4 linked regions of the Mus musculus genome follow. The protein of the gene in region 1 interacts with the protein of each later gene in a pairwise test. Links are inferred from orthologs where the notes say so. Each region holds a gene or a part of one and is shown on either strand. Other genes may lie near its edges.

Evidence for each region. The genes of interacting proteins can lie anywhere in the genome.
Region 2: the proteins of Gfap (region 1) and Trim27 interact in binary tests that used the Homo sapiens proteins (3 or more experiments, as listed by UniProt). The two-hybrid records come from large-scale screens. The link is inferred for Mus musculus from reciprocal best matches to the Homo sapiens genes GFAP and TRIM27.
Region 3: the proteins of Gfap (region 1) and Tubgcp4 interact in a two-hybrid assay, tested with the Homo sapiens proteins (2 studies listed by BioGRID and IntAct). The two-hybrid records come from large-scale screens. The link is inferred for Mus musculus from reciprocal best matches to the Homo sapiens genes GFAP and TUBGCP4.
Region 4: the proteins of Gfap (region 1) and Smarcb1 interact in binary tests that used the Homo sapiens proteins (3 or more experiments, as listed by UniProt). The link is inferred for Mus musculus from reciprocal best matches to the Homo sapiens genes GFAP and SMARCB1.

What each region holds. Positions count from the first base shown.
Region 1 is NC_000077.6:102,893,435-102,898,782, forward strand, and holds the start of Gfap (glial fibrillary acidic protein), read right to left. Parts: upstream 3,767-5,348; 5' UTR 3,684-3,766; coding exon 3,232-3,683; intron 2,377-3,231; coding exon 2,316-2,376; intron 2,135-2,315; coding exon 2,039-2,134; intron 1,106-2,038; coding exon 944-1,105; intron 153-943; coding exon 27-152; intron 1-26.
Region 2 is NC_000079.6:21,189,416-21,193,455, reverse strand, and holds part of Trim27 (zinc finger protein RFP), read right to left. Parts: intron 3,602-4,040; coding exon 3,486-3,601; intron 3,365-3,485; coding exon 3,332-3,364; intron 2,864-3,331; exon of another isoform or gene 2,770-2,863; intron 2,237-2,769; coding exon 2,210-2,236; intron 1,427-2,209; coding exon 831-1,426; 3' UTR 1-830. UniProt on the Homo sapiens protein: E3 ubiquitin-protein ligase that mediates ubiquitination of various substrates and thereby plays a role in diffent processes including proliferation, innate immunity, apoptosis, immune response or autophagy.
Region 3 is NC_000068.7:121,184,153-121,189,046, reverse strand, and holds part of Tubgcp4 (gamma-tubulin complex component 4), read right to left. Parts: intron 4,714-4,894; coding exon 4,548-4,713; intron 4,346-4,547; coding exon 4,221-4,345; intron 916-4,220; coding exon 865-915; intron 523-864; coding exon 417-522; intron 1-416. UniProt on the Homo sapiens protein: Component of the gamma-tubulin ring complex (gTuRC) which mediates microtubule nucleation.
Region 4 is NC_000076.6:75,903,736-75,908,629, forward strand, and holds part of Smarcb1 (SWI/SNF-related matrix-associated actin-dependent regulator of chromatin subfamily B member 1), read right to left. Parts: intron 2,462-4,894; coding exon 2,295-2,461; intron 840-2,294; coding exon 649-839; intron 1-648.

The DNA.
Region 1 (5,348 bases):
AACCAGTGGTTCCTGTCGGTGCTCACCGTGCCGCGCAGGGACTCCAGATCGCAGGTCAAGGCCTGCAGTTGGCGGCGATAGTCGTTAGCTTCGTGCTTGGCTTGGCGGAGCAGCTCTGCGTTGCGGGACGCAGCGTCTGTGAGGTCTGCAAACTAAACCGAGAGAGGACCTGAAGTTGAGGGAAGGTGGACCAGAGCCTCCCAGTGGCGCAGGGCACAGACCAGGGAGCTGCCTGGGCTGGGAGATAGATATACACGATCTCTGGAAAACCGACCTCAGTCAGCGCTCTCTCGGCAGAAGCAACGGTAGGCCAAGGACTTCTCAGGCCTTCATCCTGCCCAGACTGTCACTGCATGTGAGGCTCAGCAACTCAACACTGGGTTTCGTGCCCTGGGCCAGCAGCATCCCTGGTCTCTGTCTGCGCTTTTCTGTCTCAGACCTCCTCATAGCACCTATTCTTCACCTGAGATGCCCTTCCTTCTTCTCCTGAGTCTCTAGGCTGCTTGTCTAGCACAAGTCCCACCCCCTCATCTTCCCTGCCTCCTACAGTCCGAACAAACTCTGTCCACCTCTGGACCAAAGTACCTGGTACACAATAGATGTTCAGTAACATAGGACATAGACTGGCAGAGGCATCAAAAAGGCAGACTCTCTAATGAGATGGGTTAGGATAGGAAACGTTATCCCTTTATCCCTTAGAAGCTGTGTGACACTGAGCAAGCTAGTGAACCTATTAGCTATTATTGACTATTATTGCTATTACAGGTAATAGCAATAACAACGAGTAGTTTGGGAAGTAGTAATGCCTACATGGTCCTAGGCAAGTCTTCTCTCTCTGGGCAAGACTGGTCATCTAGATAGGTTATTTTCCAAGGTTCCTTCCCTTATTCTCCAGTATATAGCAGGAAGGCTTCCTGGAAGAGGCAAACTGGCCCACAGGTACCTTAGACCGATACCACTCCTCTGTCTCTTGCATGTTACTGGTGGCCACTGCCTCGTATTGAGTGCGAATCTCTCTCAGGGCCGCTGTGAGGTCTGGCTTGGCCACATCCATCTCCACGTGGACCTGCTGTTGGGCCAGCTGCTCCCGGAGTTCTCGAACTTCCTAATAAGGTAAAAAAGGGGTACTGAGGCTCAAGCCTCAGGCCTAGACTCCAGCTCGGTTCTCGAAGACTCACACTTCTGTCTGCTAGACACGGCAATGGCTTGTGGAAACGAGGCTGCTGTTACTGGAGGAAGTGCATGGCCTAGACTCATGGGCTTATATACCAGACTCAGTGCAGACACCTTTAGTGGGAGGCTAGAGCAGGCAGATCTCTATGGTTTTGAGGCCAGCCTGGTCTATATAGAATGTTCCAAGCCGGCCAAGGCTTCACAGTGGAACCTTGTCAAAAAGTAAAAATAAAACCCTCAATGGGCATGGAATGAGAGTTTGAGGGTATTTCCCCAGGACTGGATAGTCAGGAACCAGCCATGCCTATGACTCACAGCCAGGCTCTGAGGTCAGAAGGATGTGTGTGTGTGTGTGTGAGAGAGAGAGAGAGAGACACACACACACAAGCCTATATGAGGCTCTCCTGTAGACCAGGCTGGTCTCAGTTTTTCTGTGTAGCCGAAATTGGCTTTGAACAGTTCGAACATTCTGCTTCTACCTCTCACAGGCTGAGATGTGTACTGCCGTGACAGGCCCTCAGAGGGGTTTTTGGCTGTGTGACTTTGCGGTGTGTTTCAACTTCTCTGGACTTCAATGTCCCCACCATTGTGAAAGGAGGTAGTAATAAGGGCGAATGAGCTGATGTGAAGGAGACGCTAAAGACCTGGTGCTGTGCTTCTCAGAACATGGCGGTGGAGGGGCTGCGAACATTTTCAGGGCTAGTAAATATGGGACACATCTCCCTTAGTCTCTGTGTCTTTACTCTTTCTCTTGTTTCTTTTTCCTCCTGACAGTTGGTTCCTCTATCCTCCTCTCTGAGCATCTCTGTCTCTGTCTGTCACTTGCAGTGTCTTGGAAGGCCTCCCTCCTCCTCCCTGGCCTCACCTCCTCATAGATCTTCCTTAAGAACTGGATCTCCTCCTCCAGCGATTCAACCTTTCTCTCCAAATCCACACGAGCCAGGGTGGCTTCATCTGCCTCCTGGAGTGGGGAGAGAGTCCCTTTGACCCCAGAGTCCTCCCTACTAAAATTTCCCCCTTAGTCTCCCCCCTCCTTGTGGGAATCTTGGCAGCACCGACTGCTGTGGAGGGCTAAGTTCAGGGGCTGTGTTTGGTGGGCTGCCCTCAGCCTTCCCCCCACCCATCCCGCTCATCTCTCTGACCTGTCTATACGCAGCCAGGTTGTTCTCTGCCTCCAGCCTCAGGTTGGTTTCATCTTGGAGCCTGGGAGAGGGGACACAGTATGGGCTTTAGGTTTTCCTGAGAACTCTTGGGTCCCTGTCCTAACCTCCAGAGGGAGGGGACGGTCACAAACCGATCCCACAGGACCGGTAAAGTGGCAGAAGTAAGCAACGGAGGGTTCCTACACAGAGGCCTCGGCTGAGAGAGTGAACAGATAAGGGCTGCCGCCTTAGCTCATTACTGAGGTGTCTTATCTGGGTTGGTGCACCTGCTCTTGCTCCCACAGGCGCATCCTCCACCGTGTGCTCACTGTCACTGACACCAGTGCCCCTCCTGCACCAGAGGGACACATGAATGCCCACCACCCAGCAAAGCACCATGCCCTGGAGTGTGACCCTTGGTTCCGATCTTTTAGGACAGATTGTTTCCTGACCTCTACAGCTACCCCACTCAAAATGGCTTAAGCAGGGTCAAAAGCAGGTGATAGGCCATCCATCATCTGGGCCCTGCACCCAGGCCTGGCCGCTCTTTCTTGCATTTCCTATATTTCAGAGCCTCCTTGTGGATACAAACCTCTCTGGCCACTCATAATGCCAAGTGAATGAAGAAAGAAAGCACCTGCTGGCTCATACCCTGGCTACCCCCCAGCCCCCAGCCTCCCTCAGCATGGAGGTGCCCAGAGTGCCCAGCTCCCTTTGAGAATCAGATCCCCGAAGTTTTTAGTCTCTTCCTGGCTATTCCGATCATATTAGGGAACAAAGATAGCTCTCCCAGACATGGGGAAATGCAGGAGCTGAGAGGCTCCCCTGGGGGAGGCAGTGCCCTTTCTTCCAGGCAGGCAGCCCTTGTACTTCAGTCTCTCTGCTCACTAGCCATTTCCCCTATCCCCCTTCTCACTTCTGCCTCAGGGTGCCGAGGTCCTGTGCAAAGTTGTCCCTCTCCACCTCCAGCCGGGCACTGTTGGCCGTAAGCTGGTCCAGCCGCAGCCGCAGCTCCCGAAGCTCCGCCTGGTAGACATCAGCCAGTTTGGTGGGCTCCTTGGCTCGAAGCTGGTTCAGTTCAGCTGCCAGCGCCTTGTTTTGCTGTTCCAGGAAGCGGACCTTCTCGATGTAGCTAGCAAAGCGGTCATTGAGCTCCATCATCTCTGCACGCTCGCTCGCCCGTGTCTCCTTGAAGCCAGCATTGAGCGCCCCGGCCAGGGAGAAGTCCACCCTGGCAGGGAGTGGAGGAGTCATTCGAGACAAGGAGAAGCGTGGCATGGTACCCAGTTGTCGACTAGGACCGAGGCCCCTGACCACCGTCTCGGAGGCATAGGAGCGGCGCGCAGAGGTGATGCGTCTCCGCTCCATCCTGCCCTGCCTCTGCTGGCTCCTGGGATGTCAGGGCCTTTATGGAGGAACGGGTTGGACTAAATCTGCCCCTGACTTCCTGGAAGCACCCCCATTGAATAGCCTGAGGGGGTGGAGCTGGGCCCCAGCCCAGCTAGGGGGAGAACTCCTCTCACCCCACTGAGGTCACTGTACCCAGAGTCAAGGCTTTCTTGGGAACACCAGCCTGGCTTCGCCATTGATCAAGGAACCCCCTTTCTGGTAAATGGGTCAAGAGAGGGCCGAGGGAACAGCTTAGTCCATAAATTGCTTGCCTGTCAAGCATGAAGACCCACCCAAGTTCTAGCTGCAGAATGAATACAAAAGGCCTGGGTTGACAGTGCATACTTGTAAACTCCAGTGCTGGGCAGTGAAAATCAGCAGACTTCCTGGCTCTCACTAATTGGCGAGTTCCAGATCCAGAGAGAAATGCTCTCTCAGAAAACCAAGGCAACAGTGCCTGAGGTTGACCTCTGGTCTCAACACATGTATGTGCACACACATGAACATTTGTGTGATAAGTGTGCACGAGCGCACACACAGAGACAGAGACAGAGAGTGCACAGCTCGGTGGGGTAATCAGCTTCCAGTTCTTAGAGCCTGTAAGCCAGGACCACCCCAACTCTGTCCTTCTCTGGGGGCCTGTGAGATGCTAGGAACTTGAAGAACCTATTCCCTTCCTCCGGGATCAACCTATATTACAGTTTCCTGTGACCCCCATTCTCAACAGAGTCCTCTCCCCTGAATCTCTCCAACTCTATCTTCTCATTCCTGGAGTTCAGGAGTGGAGGGCTAAGGTTGGAGCCCTCTCTGTGACTCCAGGGTCAACTTGAGCCTCTGGCTGTGTGTTTAGAGTGCACGGCAGAAGGTATGCACGCAGATCCTAATAGGGTAAGACAGCAGGCTTCATTCCTGAGCCCCTCTGTGGCCTCTTATCCAGCCTAGTGGGCCATTTCTCCCTGATCCAGCTTCTCGTTGCCCCCCACCCCCCACCCCGAGCCTGGCCCCTGGCAGCCCCTGACAGAGTAGTTTTGAATGAGTTGGCTGTGCATGCTGGAGTCTTTCTTTCTGTAACACCCCGTCTTCCTGGGTACCCCTCATTCTCTCAGGAGATTTACCCCCTTTAAATTCCTACACACCAGGCCTCTGAGGGATATGTAGGTCCGGGAAACCAAACCCCACCCTCACCAATGGCGGGGAGGAGGCTGTTGCTGCTTGAGACTTCAGGCCCATCTATCTCTTCCACTCAGGTCCCTCTCCCAGGCGCCTTAGCCATCTGTGTCCTTGGGCTTCTGGAACACAGACAGCTCTGCTCCCCCCAACCCCTGCCTTCCTCTGCCCATGCTTGGGCTTCTGGTGTCTACTCCAGGGTACTCGCTGAATAGAGCCTTGTTCTCTGCCGCCAGTGAGGCATATGGCAAGGGCAGCCCCGTGGGCTGCTTTTATCCCAGGATGCCAGGATGTCAGCCCCGGGTGCAGTACAAGCTCCCAGCTCAATAGACTTCTCGGAAAGCATCGAAGGAGGCCTGGAGCACAGCGGGAAGCAGGCTGCGTGCCCACCCCTGACCATTATGTCTATGCCAAGGTGAGTCACTCGTGGGCACAAAAGGAGGTCCTGGGGGCTGACCAGCTCAGCACTGCCAGGTC
Region 2 (4,040 bases), on another chromosome or scaffold:
AGATGCAGTCTTGGCCCTCTCTGGACCACTACTTTTGTGTGCTGACCCTGAGGAAATACTTCCTAGATTTCACCTCAATAGTGCCGGCCTTCTGTTAATTAGTTGATTCTTTAGCCCCAGGTAACCAGCATTGACTGTTGTAGAAAAACAAGTTTCACGTCAGTGGTATTGGTGTCTTGTTATTCACAGTCAATTCTTCAGCCCCAGCTGTGCAGAAACCACACATTCTTAATTCAAATATAGTACAAAATTACCCAGTCTTTGTTCCCCCCTGAAACTTCCTAAGTTTATCATCTGCATTTCTCAACACTCTTAATTTCCAAACCAAAGTTACAAACACTTCCAAAATCCTTTGCAAAACAAGGTCAGTCTATCATAGCAATAGCTTACGAATCTGGCACCTTAAGTTGTGTCTCTCTTGCTATGACAAACACTGACAAAAGCCCCCTGGGGAGGAATGGTTTTATTTGGCTCATACTTTCCGTATTGTGATCCACATGAAGAGAAGCCAGGACAAGATTCTGGAAAGTGGGTCTCCAAATCCAAATCCTATTCTTTTATGTCCTTCAGTCATAACAAAAACAAAACGTATGAAACACAGGAGGAATCTAGTTTTTATTTCTGGGAAATAGCAATACTTTTCATTACATCTCACAATCTGCAAGGGAAGGGAAAATGCAGTAGAGACCATGGATGGACATCTTGTCTCTCACTGTAGGGGCACGGAAATGGTAAGGACACCCAATTTTGATGGACAGGAATCAGGACAAGATCCCTTGTGCCTGGGGTAGGATTACAGGCAACAGCACTTGTGGTCTACGTTCACTTCCTCACGGAGAGGTCTCCATGGAATGACCATGATTCCCAACATGGCCAGAAAACCCATCAATCCCACTCATAGGGCAGATGATCAAAGGAGCTGCGCTCTTCCCTCCCGAGTAGCTTAGGCTGAAGTAGGGCCGGACTGGCCCACAGAAGGTAGCGTGAGAGAAAGTAAAGGTATGGCATCTCTCTGTCACATTGTAGAAGGAAACCTCACCAGCATCATAGTCCAAGAAAATCCCTACTCTCTGGAGAGGGGTCCGCAGGGGTAGTGCAGTCATTGGGGATGTAAGAGCCCAATATTCTTTCCCATACCACAATGACACTGCCCAGAATCCATTCTGGGGGGCTGAGGTCACCCCACCTTTTCTGCACACCGAGTCTTCACAGACACCTATGGTCCACTTGGCTTTATCTCCCACCTCTACCTCCCAGTAATGTCTCCCAGCGATGAAACATGGAGAGCCCAAGACACAGGGAAACAGATTGAATCGCTCAGGGTTGTCTGGAAGATCCTGCTGGAGGTAACTGTACCGTACTTGCCGAAGATTATCAGAAAGAATCAGACTGGGATAGGCTGTGTCTGGGTCCAGGGTTACATCAACTGTAGAAACAAAGGGGGGGGGGTGTCATCTGAGGGCCAGAAGAGCCCACTCAAGACTACCTGGTATTTCACTGACTTCCCCAGAACACTGTAGGAGATGCCCACCAGAGGCTGTACTCATTATATATCAGACACACGGTGAACTGATTATGTAAAAAAATTCTCTTGGAACTAAGCATGGTGGCACACGTGGAGACTGAGGCAGAAGTTATCTTCAGGAGTTCCAGACCAGCCCATGTTGCATGGTCAGTGTTACATAGTAAGACCCTGACTCAGAACCTAAAAATTTACGGTTAGATTAGCTGATTGCCTCTGTATGGATAACAATGAAAGTAATACAATTTTACTTCCCACTCCTTTTCTCACATCTAAGGCTCAACCTCCTTCGGAGATTTCATTTAAAGCTTCTTTACATATGTCTAATTTCTGAATTTGAAAACTTTGGTGGCCAATAGTTTTAGCTAAAGTTTAATATTACCACCTTTCAAATCATTCTTGTATTTGTTCTGAGAATTTGCCTTGAACATCCACTCTTTTAAGTTTTTCCCTTTATCTTTTTTGAAACAGAAATCTATGTGGATTAACTAAGTAGCAAAAAAATGGCCTTAAACTCCTGATGTCCCTGCCTCATGTTCCCAACTACTGGGCTTCTGGCTGTATGATATCTGTGTATATGCAACTAAAGGATTCAAACTTGAGGCTGTCTCAAAGCACTTATAATAGTGGTCAGGCTCATAGGGCTTTTAATCCTTTCTTCAACATGGTTTGTCTTCAGGTACCTACCTGAGTATAACTGAGCCTCTCTCAACTCTGAAAGACAAGAGAGAAAAGAAGTTACTGAACCTGTGTGTCTTTCTAGGAAACATGTTAAGTGAAAAAACAAAAAACAAAAAACAAACCATAAAGCAGTGGAACCCACTAGCATTGCAGAACGCCTGTGTCAATTGGGTACTGATTTTCATTTGATGTTATGACTCCATATCTGCTTATCTGCCCAGGAATTTTTTTTTCTCTTTTAGAAAGACAGTCTTACTATGTAACTCAGGCTGACCTGAAACTCACTGTATGGCCAGGCTGGCTTCAAACTCATGGCAGTCACTGCTGATGAGCTGTGAGGTACTAGGTTTACAGGCATGCACCACTATGCTTTGCACATGCAAGGATTTTTAGGGTTAGGGGTTTGGGAACCTTGGCTATACAGATAACATGTATGAACTTTGTAAAACATGGTATCACACTGAGCCAAGATCAAGAATTCCACCCTCCAGAGAGCCACTGGATTCTGCAAAGGCAAAGTTCAAATGCATGACATATAATATATATAACTCTTAACTTGTACGAACCATCTTTGCTGTAGAGGCTGGGTGGCTCAAATGACACCCACTGCCATCATTAATTTATGTGGGGTTTCTAGCTGGCCAAGGATTTCACACAAGTCTTTGAAGTGGCAAAGGAAGAGGAAGAGAAAGAAGAATCAGATCAAGGAAAGCCACTTCTGGTTACTAGCCACCGAACTAAACGTAGCTGTGGATATGGCGCCACACCTGTAACCCCAGAGGCAGAAGGTCTGAGGCAGGAGACCGGTGAGTAATAGGCTAGACTGGGCTACACATTATGACTGTCTCAACCAAACCCAAACTAAAGCAACGGTGTCAGGTAGGGAAGCACATGAATAACGTGTGCGTGTGTGTGCGTGTGCGATCACAAATGTCATTACACACGTGGATTCTGTTCTTTCCTTATACCTTTGTATAGGTTCCAAGTAGCAGACTCAGGTCGACAGGTTTGCCCAGTAAGTGACTGCACTTACTGAGCTATCTTGTTGACACCCCCTGGACTGTCTATATACTCGCTTCTTTCCAAGAAACTTAAAATGTCAAGAGCTCAGGAAATAGGTAAATTTACCTTGGATCTTCTCCATATCTGACTGCATCTTTTCTAAAAACAAAAAAAGAAGAGATTCGGTTTATATGACTCTTAACTGGTTAGAAAATCCATCCTCAGATGACAATGATAACAACACACTCAGAATATAAACCCACTCTCTTCCTCATATTACCTGTGAACTGTTTTAGACTTTCTGTCAAAAACAGACATTTTTGGGCAAAAATATGGATTTTCTCTTGTAGATCTGGGGGTGTGATCCAGGGCTCAGGGATCCTGATTCTTTCAGCCCTAAAACAAAACAAAACAAAACCACAAAATTATAGATAGTAACAATACATCCTTCCCTCAATCCTTCAACCTTGAGGACCACGATAACCTGTCCAACACAAGTAGGCAGTCTTTAGAGCTCGCTACCACAAACTTTACAACTTTCCTCTAAACCACAGTAAGAGATAGCCTTATTCATTTCCATCTCTCCTAAAGCGCTAGCTCAGAGCTTTGCAATTATCAAGTGTTCAGTGGGTATGTCAGTCCCTCCCTATAACATCAGCAGCACTCAGGAGGCAGGAACATAAAGATCACTGCTTGTCCCAGGCCATCTAGGGCTACTTAGTGAGATCTTGCCCCCAAACTTCCAAAACAAAGGAAACAGAAAAGCAAGTCTTCAAAATGAGAATGAATTATGAGGCTGCTCTAGCCAGGAAGCAAAGTTTCCATGACAAAAGCC
Region 3 (4,894 bases), on another chromosome or scaffold:
TTGGATAGGGGTGGCCATTAAACTAACCAAAGGGAAGACACTTGCTGAAAGAGGCATCTCCTAAACTTGACTTCTTCACTGTTAAAGTTATAGCCATGTGGATCTGGCTGTAACCAGTTAAAACAAAGCACTTCACTAGATTTCTTTAGTTTGCTTCTAGAGACCAGGAATGGCTACTGATGTCTAGGGGAGTTGTCAGGGTAAGGAGAAGTCTTGAAAGTACTGAAGTCCTTCACTTTAGTTGTTCTGAGACCTAGTTATACCCCAAGCATAAGGAAGCTTTAGCTATAACAACTGCTTGTGACTCAAGTCCTCCCTCTTCTGGCCTCTGCAGGCAAACATGCAACACACAACACCAGCCAAGAAACACCCTGCAACCTGAGCAAACTTTACTCTCAGGGCCACAGGAAAATTACCATGCTCTGTTACTGCAGTGGGTGGTGTTTTCAACATGTGCTGAGCTGTGTCAATGAAGGCCTGGAACAGTTCTCCTCGTCCCAGCAGGTAAAAGTCTTTAATGATCTGGGGAAAGAATTTCAGTGTACAATTCAGTAAATCAGAGCCTGGAGGCCCTGACCACCCCAAATGAATTAGACACAGAGAGGCTGATACTAGCAGTCTGAAGGATACAGGCTTGACATTTTAAAGAGACATACAGAGCAGCCTCCCAAAGCAGGAAGACTCTGTTTGATGGTATTTACATCACAACAGAAGAAAGTAAGCTTGAATCTTTAGAGTAGAAAAGATTTGTAGCATAAAATATATTTTCCTCACTTGAGTAAGAACAAATGAATCGACTGTGGCAGTGTAGATAAGACTGCTTTCCAGAATCATTTCCGGATTTAAAAGAGTGTCAGTTATTACCTTCAGCTGACCCAGTAAATCTGACTCTTCCACCATTAGCTTCCAGAGGTGCTGTGATGAGATTAAAAAAAAAAACACAAAAATCCATTACAGTGAACCCAAGTTCAGCTAATCCTAGGAATGAGCAGACAGAAACAAAACCTATACAAGATAAAAATGTCCTGAAATTAATGGTAATAGCTACATATACAACTCTGTGTGAATACCATTTTTAAATGGCTACAAAGTTGAGTACATATTTGATTTTTTTTTCCCCAGTCACTTTTGAGAAAGCATGACTGTAGCCAAGCGGAGTAGCTCATGCCTTGAATTTCAGCATCAGAAGCAGAGGTAGAAGGAGCTCTGTTGAGTTCAAGGCCAGCCTAATCTATATAGTTAGTTCCAGGACAGGAAGAGTCTCTACAGAAGGAGACCCTGTCTCAAAAAAGCACAACATTAAAGTTAATAGGAAAAATCATCTGGGTACCTGGAGATGCATAGATAAGTTGTATGATTTTTTTTTTTACACTTGTATGGGTGTTATGCCTGCATGCATATCTTTGTATCATATGCCTGGCTCGTGCCCTCAGAGGCTAGATAAGGATGCCAGATTCCCTGGAGCTGGAATTCCAGATGGTTGTGAGCCATTTTGTAGGTGTTGGAAATCAAATCCAGGTCCACTGGGAGAGCAAGCCACTGCTCTTAACTGATAAGCCATCTCTCGAGTCCTTTTTATAAAAACAAAAACAAAACAAAAAAACAGAAGAAAAAAAAAAAACCCCAAAAAGCTAAATGGGATTGCTGCCTATGCAAAGCTGGCCTGGAGTTGGCAGTCATCTTCCTGCTATGCTATAGTTTTCCCAGTGCTACACTGATGGGGTGTGTACCAGAAAGCCTAGATTTTCTTTTTCTTTTTTTATAAGTCATGAACTAATGGAGAGTTTTAGCCAATGCTTTTTCTGCATCTCCAGGTACCCAGATGTTACATTTATATATAATTTTTCTAAATGTGTAAGTTAGTATGTTTTAAATTAAGGGGGAAAAGCTGGTTCTAACTAGTTTATTAATCTTAATAAAAGCCTAACAAGACTAAATAATGAGAAAAACTGGGGCTGGCAAGATGGCTCAGTGATGAAAAACCTTGCTAAGCAAGCATAAGGACCCAAGTTCAGATCTCCAGCATCTATGTGAAAGCTGAGCAGTGGCTCGTGCCTAACCCAATGCTGGCAGACAGGGAGGCAGGGAGTGCTGGGGCTCCCTGGCCAGCCAGGCCAGCCCAAACAGTGAGCTCTTGGTTCAGAAAGATGCTGTCCTAACAGTAAGGTAGGAGAGTGAAAACAGAAGATTTCTGAAACTAATCTCCACAGGCACGCACGCACTCACACAACACACACACACCTACCTACCTTGTAACATAAGTACATACACTACACACCCAGACACACAATTTATTTATTTATTTATTCTTTTTTTTTTTTTTTTCCTAGACAGGGTTTCTCTGTAGCCCTGGCTGTTGTCCTGTAAACCAAGCTGGCCTCAAATGCAGAGATCCACTTGCCTCTGCCTGCCCTATGCTACTACTGACAGGCCACAAAATCATGTTTAAAAGACAAAACTTAAGTAAACAAAACAAAACAAAACCTATTTATAGATAAGCAAGTATTTTAAAAATTTAAGTCCACCTGAAATAGTCAAGTTGCAAAGCTACAGAGTCATCAAAACTGTTACAAGAAGAAGCTTTATGGCAACTTAGTTTTAAAACATACTCAGCCAGTCAAGGTTCTCTTCCTAAGGAAGCCTAGATCACTTTTCAGGGAAGTTCAAACTCTAAGTAACAATTACAAACAAAGAAAACACAGACTGTTTAACAAACAAAAAGAAAAGGAACAAAAGCACCTACCTAACCCATTTTATAAGGCTTATGTAAAAACTACCCAAGAATAAGACAATTGTCTTTCTTAACTAATGCATACAGATATAAAAACTATGAAAGAGAAATGGATCCAAGGCAAGACTGCTCTCCTCCACTAACACAGGGGCAACTGGTAAACCTGACAGCACTTAAGAAAAAAACCCAGCTAACTAGGAAGAGAATAGTTTATTACACTGCCTTCTAGAAGCCTACAGCAAATGTCATAGTAATGCAGGAATTCTCTGCATCTCTAAGCGTCAGGAGTTCAGAGACGTCCAATATTACCTCTGCTGTTTGACACAATTTATGCAAACAAAGGCGACCTGTCTACTTTATCAATAAAGATCCTAGAACAATGTATGGTGGGGTGTTAAACATTAGAAGAAGTGTTGTAAAACACTTCTTATTTTCTTATTTTCAGGTGATGTAATCTTTTGTACATAAAAAATTTTATAGTATCAAACCCCAGAATTAAGTTAGTTACCCAGGGATTGGAGAGATGACTCAGAGGTTAAGAGCACTGACTGCTTTTCCAGAGGTTCTGAGTTCAATTCTCAGCAACCACATGGTGGCTCACAACCATCTGTAATGGGATCTGATGCCCTCTTCTGGTGTGTCTGAAGAGAGCGACAGTGCACTCATATACATAAAATAAATAAGCCTTTAAAAAAAAGTTAGTTACACAGAGTTAAGGGGAATGTGTAAGACTAGCCAGCAATAAATTAGCATTACTATGTCTCCATATAAATAATAAACAACTTTAGATACAAGAGTTTTTCTCTTACATATCCAAAATTTTAGTGAAAGTAGTGACTATTATACAGAAAAACAAATAAATCATAAGCTTACATCTTGAAGTTCACAATGAACAGGCCAATCAATATAAGCACCCTCAGCTCAAGAAGTCCCAGTACCTAGAATCCCTAGCAACCCTCCCACTTGTCTCAAGGGCCAGGACCACCATCCTGTGTGCGTGGCTTTCCTTCCAAGATTACCATGTACAAGTGAAATACATGGTCGATAATAAAACACACACACATGGGCACAAACACACAGACATACACACAAAGCTTTTCCTCACCCAAATTCATGAGTGTTAGAAATTAAACTGAGACTTCCCTTTAATCAACTGATTAAAACACATCAGTTCCATTTCTACCTGAAAAACAGACGTTCTTTCACTTATTTCTTTTCATGTGTGAGGGTGTGTGCCTAGTGATTATCTGTATCAATGTCTGCCCAGTGCCTCTGGAAGCCAGAATAGGGCACTGGATCTCTTGGAGCTGGAGTGGCAGATGGTTGAAAGCCACTATGTGGGTCCTGGGAATCGAACCAAAGTTGAATCCAGTGCTCTTAACCACTGAGCCATCTCTCCAGCCCCATAGGTACCCCCCTCCCCGCTCTCTCTCCCTTTAGGGTTCTACAAACTCATGTCTTCTGGAACACTAGAAGAGAAAAGACAGACCTCAGCCACAGTGCTACGAATCCGATCTACCACCTGCTCAAAATCCACCAGGCTGAAGAGTGGCTGCTGCTTGAGCCGGTGCAGCTCGGCAGCGAATGTGTCCTCCTGGTTTTTCAAGATGGACCCTGTGGATTATGATGACATGATCATCAGACAGGAGTCAGGGCAGACAGGGTGGAGGGGGCCACAGTGGCCCAGGCAAATCTATCAGAGCGGTTTTGCTGCAGTCATTGTTGTCATCAGCCACTCTAACCCTGCATGCTTTGGGCCAGTGTTGCAGATACAGAGCCTCTGAGGATGGGACCAATAGAACAAGGGCATTCCTACCTTTCCTTGTCAGGTTCACATTTTGATTCTCAAACATTTGGACAGATTCTCCAACAAAGAGGATTTTTTCAGCAACTCTCACTGGAATGTATGATGGTAAAATCTCTACCCTCAGCGAAAACTGCTTCAGAGATGGGGCCAGCATATTCTCTTCCTCAATTAGGCGCTAGTGAAGAAAATAATCGGTCAGTGAAGTATGATGACAGGTCTTAACTCCCAACCCATGATCTGTGCGACTGGTAAACAAGGTGTAGATCTCAGGAAGAAAACTGGCACGGCGGAAAGCGCTGAGTTCTTATCCTTTAATTTACCTCTGTGTGTTAGTGTGTGTCCTCACATCTTCCCTG
Region 4 (4,894 bases), on another chromosome or scaffold:
AGACAATGTTACCTAAGCTTGACTCCAGGCAGCATCGGCTGAGGCTTGCTGGCCTTGGCTCCATACAGGGTGAATGGACACCATGGCTGCACCCACAAGTAGGCTTCTTTCAGGAATGGTGAGGCATGGAACAGACATTAAGGCTAGAAAATAAAACTGCTTGGCCAAGGGGCTGCTAGAGGAGTCTCAGTAAGCAACTCATGTGCCTGCTTAGCGTATCAAGTGCTTGGGCTGAGGGGCTCATACCCTTTTAGGTGTACCTCATTTCTTCTGTCTACCCCCTCCCCAAACATTTTTATTTTATGTGTTTGGGTGTACTGCCTACATGCATGTCTATATTCCCCTTAGATTCCTGGTGCTCAGAGAGCATTGGATCCCCTGGGACTGGAGCTGCCTCCCTCTAGACCTTTTTTCTCTTGCTCACATTACAGAAATCCCTAAGGAAGCTGAATCTTGGGATGTCTGGTAAACCTATCTGAGTCAAACGCCTACTAACAAGCTTCCTGAACTGCCATGGCTTTGCAGAAAGCCCCTTGCTCTTGCTTTTCCTAAGCATTCCAGTTCTCAATGAAATCTTTTTCCAGTGGAGGCAAGGAAATGGACAAAACACAAGACCAGCGGGAAAGATGACCATGCTGGTTATCCTACCTGAAGGCATAGGTCTTCTGGTGCCAGCTCAGCTGTCCTCGGATGCTGTATGCAATGGTGGTGACAAACTCCCCGCCCAAGCCCAGCTCTGAGCACAGCTTCAGGGCAAACTTCTCTGGGGAGTTCTCTTTCTCTGACATGTCCCACTCAAACTGGTCCACCAGGGAGATGTTCCCCACGTGGATGTTCAGCTGCAGCAGGGGCCAAGAAACACAAGTGAAGGCCAAACATTAGTCCCCCAGGAGAGCTGGGAGGAGGTGGGGACAAGCCATTCTCAGCTGCCAGGTTGGAGGAAATCCAGCCCATCACTCAGAAACTGAGGCCCTGGTCTGTCTAGCTCCTTATTTATAAAATAGAACCGACCTCCCCGACTTCCAGGTTGTCACTAGACACTGAGGTCCTGGGCACCTGATCCCACCGTAACCTCTCTTCTATTCCTCTTGCATCCCATGCTGGCTAAGTGTCTTCTTTGTCCTTTACACCTCGGACAATCAACCTTTATGCAGCTATGCTGGCCATGCAGAGCTCAGCTTACATGCCACTCTTCAGGGATTGTCCTTGAGCCTGTTTTAAGCCACTGTCCATACCCTGATGTTACTTTACAAGCATCCTGCCAAGCTGCGAACAAGCACACCTACCCCATCTACTTGCTACCCCTTAGAAAGATATGCCTATTCCCGAACTCTGTGGAAGAAAAACAATACTTCACAAACCTGTGCTCTCACCTTCACATATTTGTGGTGGCACACACATACTAATAACAGTTATAGAAAAAAAATCAATGCAGTAAGACACATGCATAATAGCACACTAATAAGGAAGCTAAAGAGTCAACATAATCAGATACTTCACCCCATTAGGATGGCTACTATCGCACAAGAAAGGAAGAAAGGGGGAATGAAGGAGAGAAGGGAGGCAGGGCGGTAAGAACAACTTTTACTGATTCTGGGGAGAAACTGGAACCTTAGTGCATTGTTAGTGGGGGCATAAGACGGTGTGACTCCTGTGCAAGTCTGATAGGTCCTCAAAATAATAAAGGGCAGATAGTCTAGTGACCTAGAGATTTTTTTCTAAGATTTATTTATTTTTATTTAATGTGTACTGGTATTTTACTTATATGTACGTCTGTGTGAGGTTGTCAGACCCTGGAGTTACAGACAGTTATGAGCTGCCCCATGGAGGCTGGGTATTAAACCCAGGTCCTCCAGAAGAGCAACCAATGCTCTTAACAATCATGTCCTAGCAATTTTAACTTGTTTAATTTTAACTAACTTAATTTTAATTTGGAGTATAAACCCCAAAAACTGAAAGCAGAAATACAAACATGTATTTGAATCATAAAGTATTTCTGACCCAGCCCATAAGAACATTACACTGACGTTGCACATCTCACTGTGGGCTCTCCCAACTCTGGGGTTGGCTCAGCAACTGTCCTGATGGAGATGCAGCAGCACTGGTTGTCCTGATGGAGATGCAGCAGCACTCGCTATCCTACCCACAATGTGACACTTAAATCTGAAAAGTCAGCCCACCCATTCCTGAGTGCTTAGTCAGTTGTCCCTGAGAGATGTCATCCCAGAAACCGCATCCCAAGCAGGGAACCTGACAGGCTTCCATCAAGGGCTGAGTGTACTCTTGGCACCTACCTTGATGATGACACGCTGGTCGGATTGATCCTCTAGGATGCTGTCTGTGGGGTAGGACTCAATCTGCTGTCGAATGGCAGAGGCAATAGCTGGCACAAAAGTCAGTGGATTCAAATCCAGGTCATCACAAAGTATTTCTGAAAACATCTCAGGAGTCATTAGCTTCTCTGAAACCATAAAAATGCAAACATTTCAATCTATTTGTAGTACCTCATTTCTTGGTGCTCACATCTGTCCTGGTTTCTCTCCTTCCCTTCCTACTTTAACAAACCTGCCCTCACACAGATGTGGATGACCAGACACCTGAACCTGGCCTTCCCAGACACTTCCCATAGTTCATATCCTATGAACCAGAGTGTGCTCTGAGAACGGGACTTGGGTTGTCAAGGTGCAGGACATTTCCATCTGTACCAGAACCCCTCTATTGTTCTTTTGCAGCCACACGTACGTTTCTGTTCATCTTTCACCTATGATATCTGTTTTGTAATTCCAGCATCTGAAAAGCTAGAATCATACCTTATGCAACTTGGGGTAACTTTTCTAGGCAGAAATTTTTTTCAGAGAAGCTAGTCATGGTGGTATGTGCCTTTAATCCTTGCACTTGGGAGGCAAAGGCCAGTGGATCTCTATAATTTTAAGGCTAGCCTGATCTACACAGTGAGTTCCAAGCCAGCCAGGCCTACATAATGAGATTCTATCTAAAAAACAAACAAACAAACAAACAAACAACAACAAAAAAACAACCAAACAAGCAACAAAAATTCTTGAGCAATGCATGAGGCTGTTCCCTCCCTACTACTGAGATTAACATCCTGCAGAGCACTCAGGTTCTCTTCACTGTCCGCCCGCTGCAGGGCATCTGGACCATTTCTAACTTCTGTGTGTTACGCACAGAGCTGCTATCATACCCACATGTAGGTTTCAGTGTACACAGATGTCTTCAGAACTTCTTAGGGACACATGCCACCACTGCAGCTGCTCAGACGGTAGCCATGTTTAGATTTTGAAATGTTTTTTAGAGTAGCTTAGACATCTGTCTTTCCATCAGTGTGTGAAGGACTCAGTTTTTCCGCACCCTCACCAGCGGTAAGTGATGTTGTCACTGGTTTTATTTTGCACTTCTCAAACAGCTAATAAAGCTGAAGACCTTTCCAATGTTTACTTCCATCCAAGCATCTAAGTGAAATGTATTTCCATGGCTCCTGTCCTTATTCTAAAGTGCTCTCTTACATTTACTTATGTGTGTGGCTGTTTGGTTAGCATGTACATCTGTGTACTACCTGCACATCTTAAGTCTTTAGAGGCCAGAATGCAGTAGATTCCCTTGAAATGGAGTTATAAACCATGGTGAGCTCCTATGTGGGTGCTGGGAATTGAATCTGGATCCTCTGGAAGAACAGTCAGTGCCCTAAGTCTGAGCCATCTCTGTAGCCCATGTTCTTATTGTAATTAAATTATTGCTTTCTAGAGTTTTTAAAATGTGTTCTTTCACAATTTCATACAAATATGTAAAACACTGTGATTATATTCCATCTCCTGTTATCTTTTTTCTTTTCTGAGACAGGTCTCATCGTTTAGCCCTCCCTGGCTGGCCTGTAACTTGCCATGTAGACTTGAGCCTGCCCCACGCTGGGATCAGATGTGTGCCCCTCTCCATCGGGCACCCTTTCACCCTTCCTACAGGATCTTTTGCAGGGCAAAGTTTTAATGAGGTACATGTTTTAGTATTTTCTATTCTGTACCATGCTGCTGGTGTCTGGAGGGTTTTTGTCTATCCCCAAACACCCAAGATTTTCTCTTACACTTTCCTTCAACAAGTTTCATGGTTTTGAGTTTTATACACATTAAGTCCGTGATGTTTTAAGAGTTCACCACTAGATGTGAGATTAGGTCGTGGTTATCTTTGGATGTCTGACTGCTCCAGCATCATTTTGTCCAAAGGACTATCTTTCCTCCAATGACCTGCATTTGCACTGCTTTATCAAAAATCAGCAGGACTAGGAAAGGGGTGAGGGTGAGGGTGAGGGTGGGAGGCGCGAGAGCACACAGTGGCCTTGTGACATCAGATAGAGGCACAGCTGTGGATGAGCAGTGAGCACGCAGCTGGACTGAGCCGGAGCGACGCCTTGGGCATCTCTGGAACTACAGATACTTGCCATGCCAAGGCCCTGAAGCCTCTCACCCTTCTCACCCTGGAGTTCTCACCCTTCCTAAGGCTGCGACACTTTAATGCAGTTCCTCATGTTGTGGTGACCCTCAACATAAATTCTTTCATTGCTACTTCATAACTGTCATTTTGCTACTGTTATGAACTGAAATGTAGGTATCTGATATGCGACCTCAAAAGGGGTCATGATCCACAGGTTGAGAAGCACTACCCTGAGCTAACTGACTCCCAAGAGGGCGGAACCTCACACTCACACACTGCTGTCACTGCTCTGTGTTCATGTTTGTTGTTAGAGCCTTACAGCCTAGCTTAGGCTGACCGTGGCTTGCCCTCTTCCCACGACAGTGCCTGATTTGAGAAGTGCCCTTTTTGTTTTGTTTTGGAACAGGGTCTCACTATGTAGCTCTAGCTGTCCTGAAACTCACTATATAGA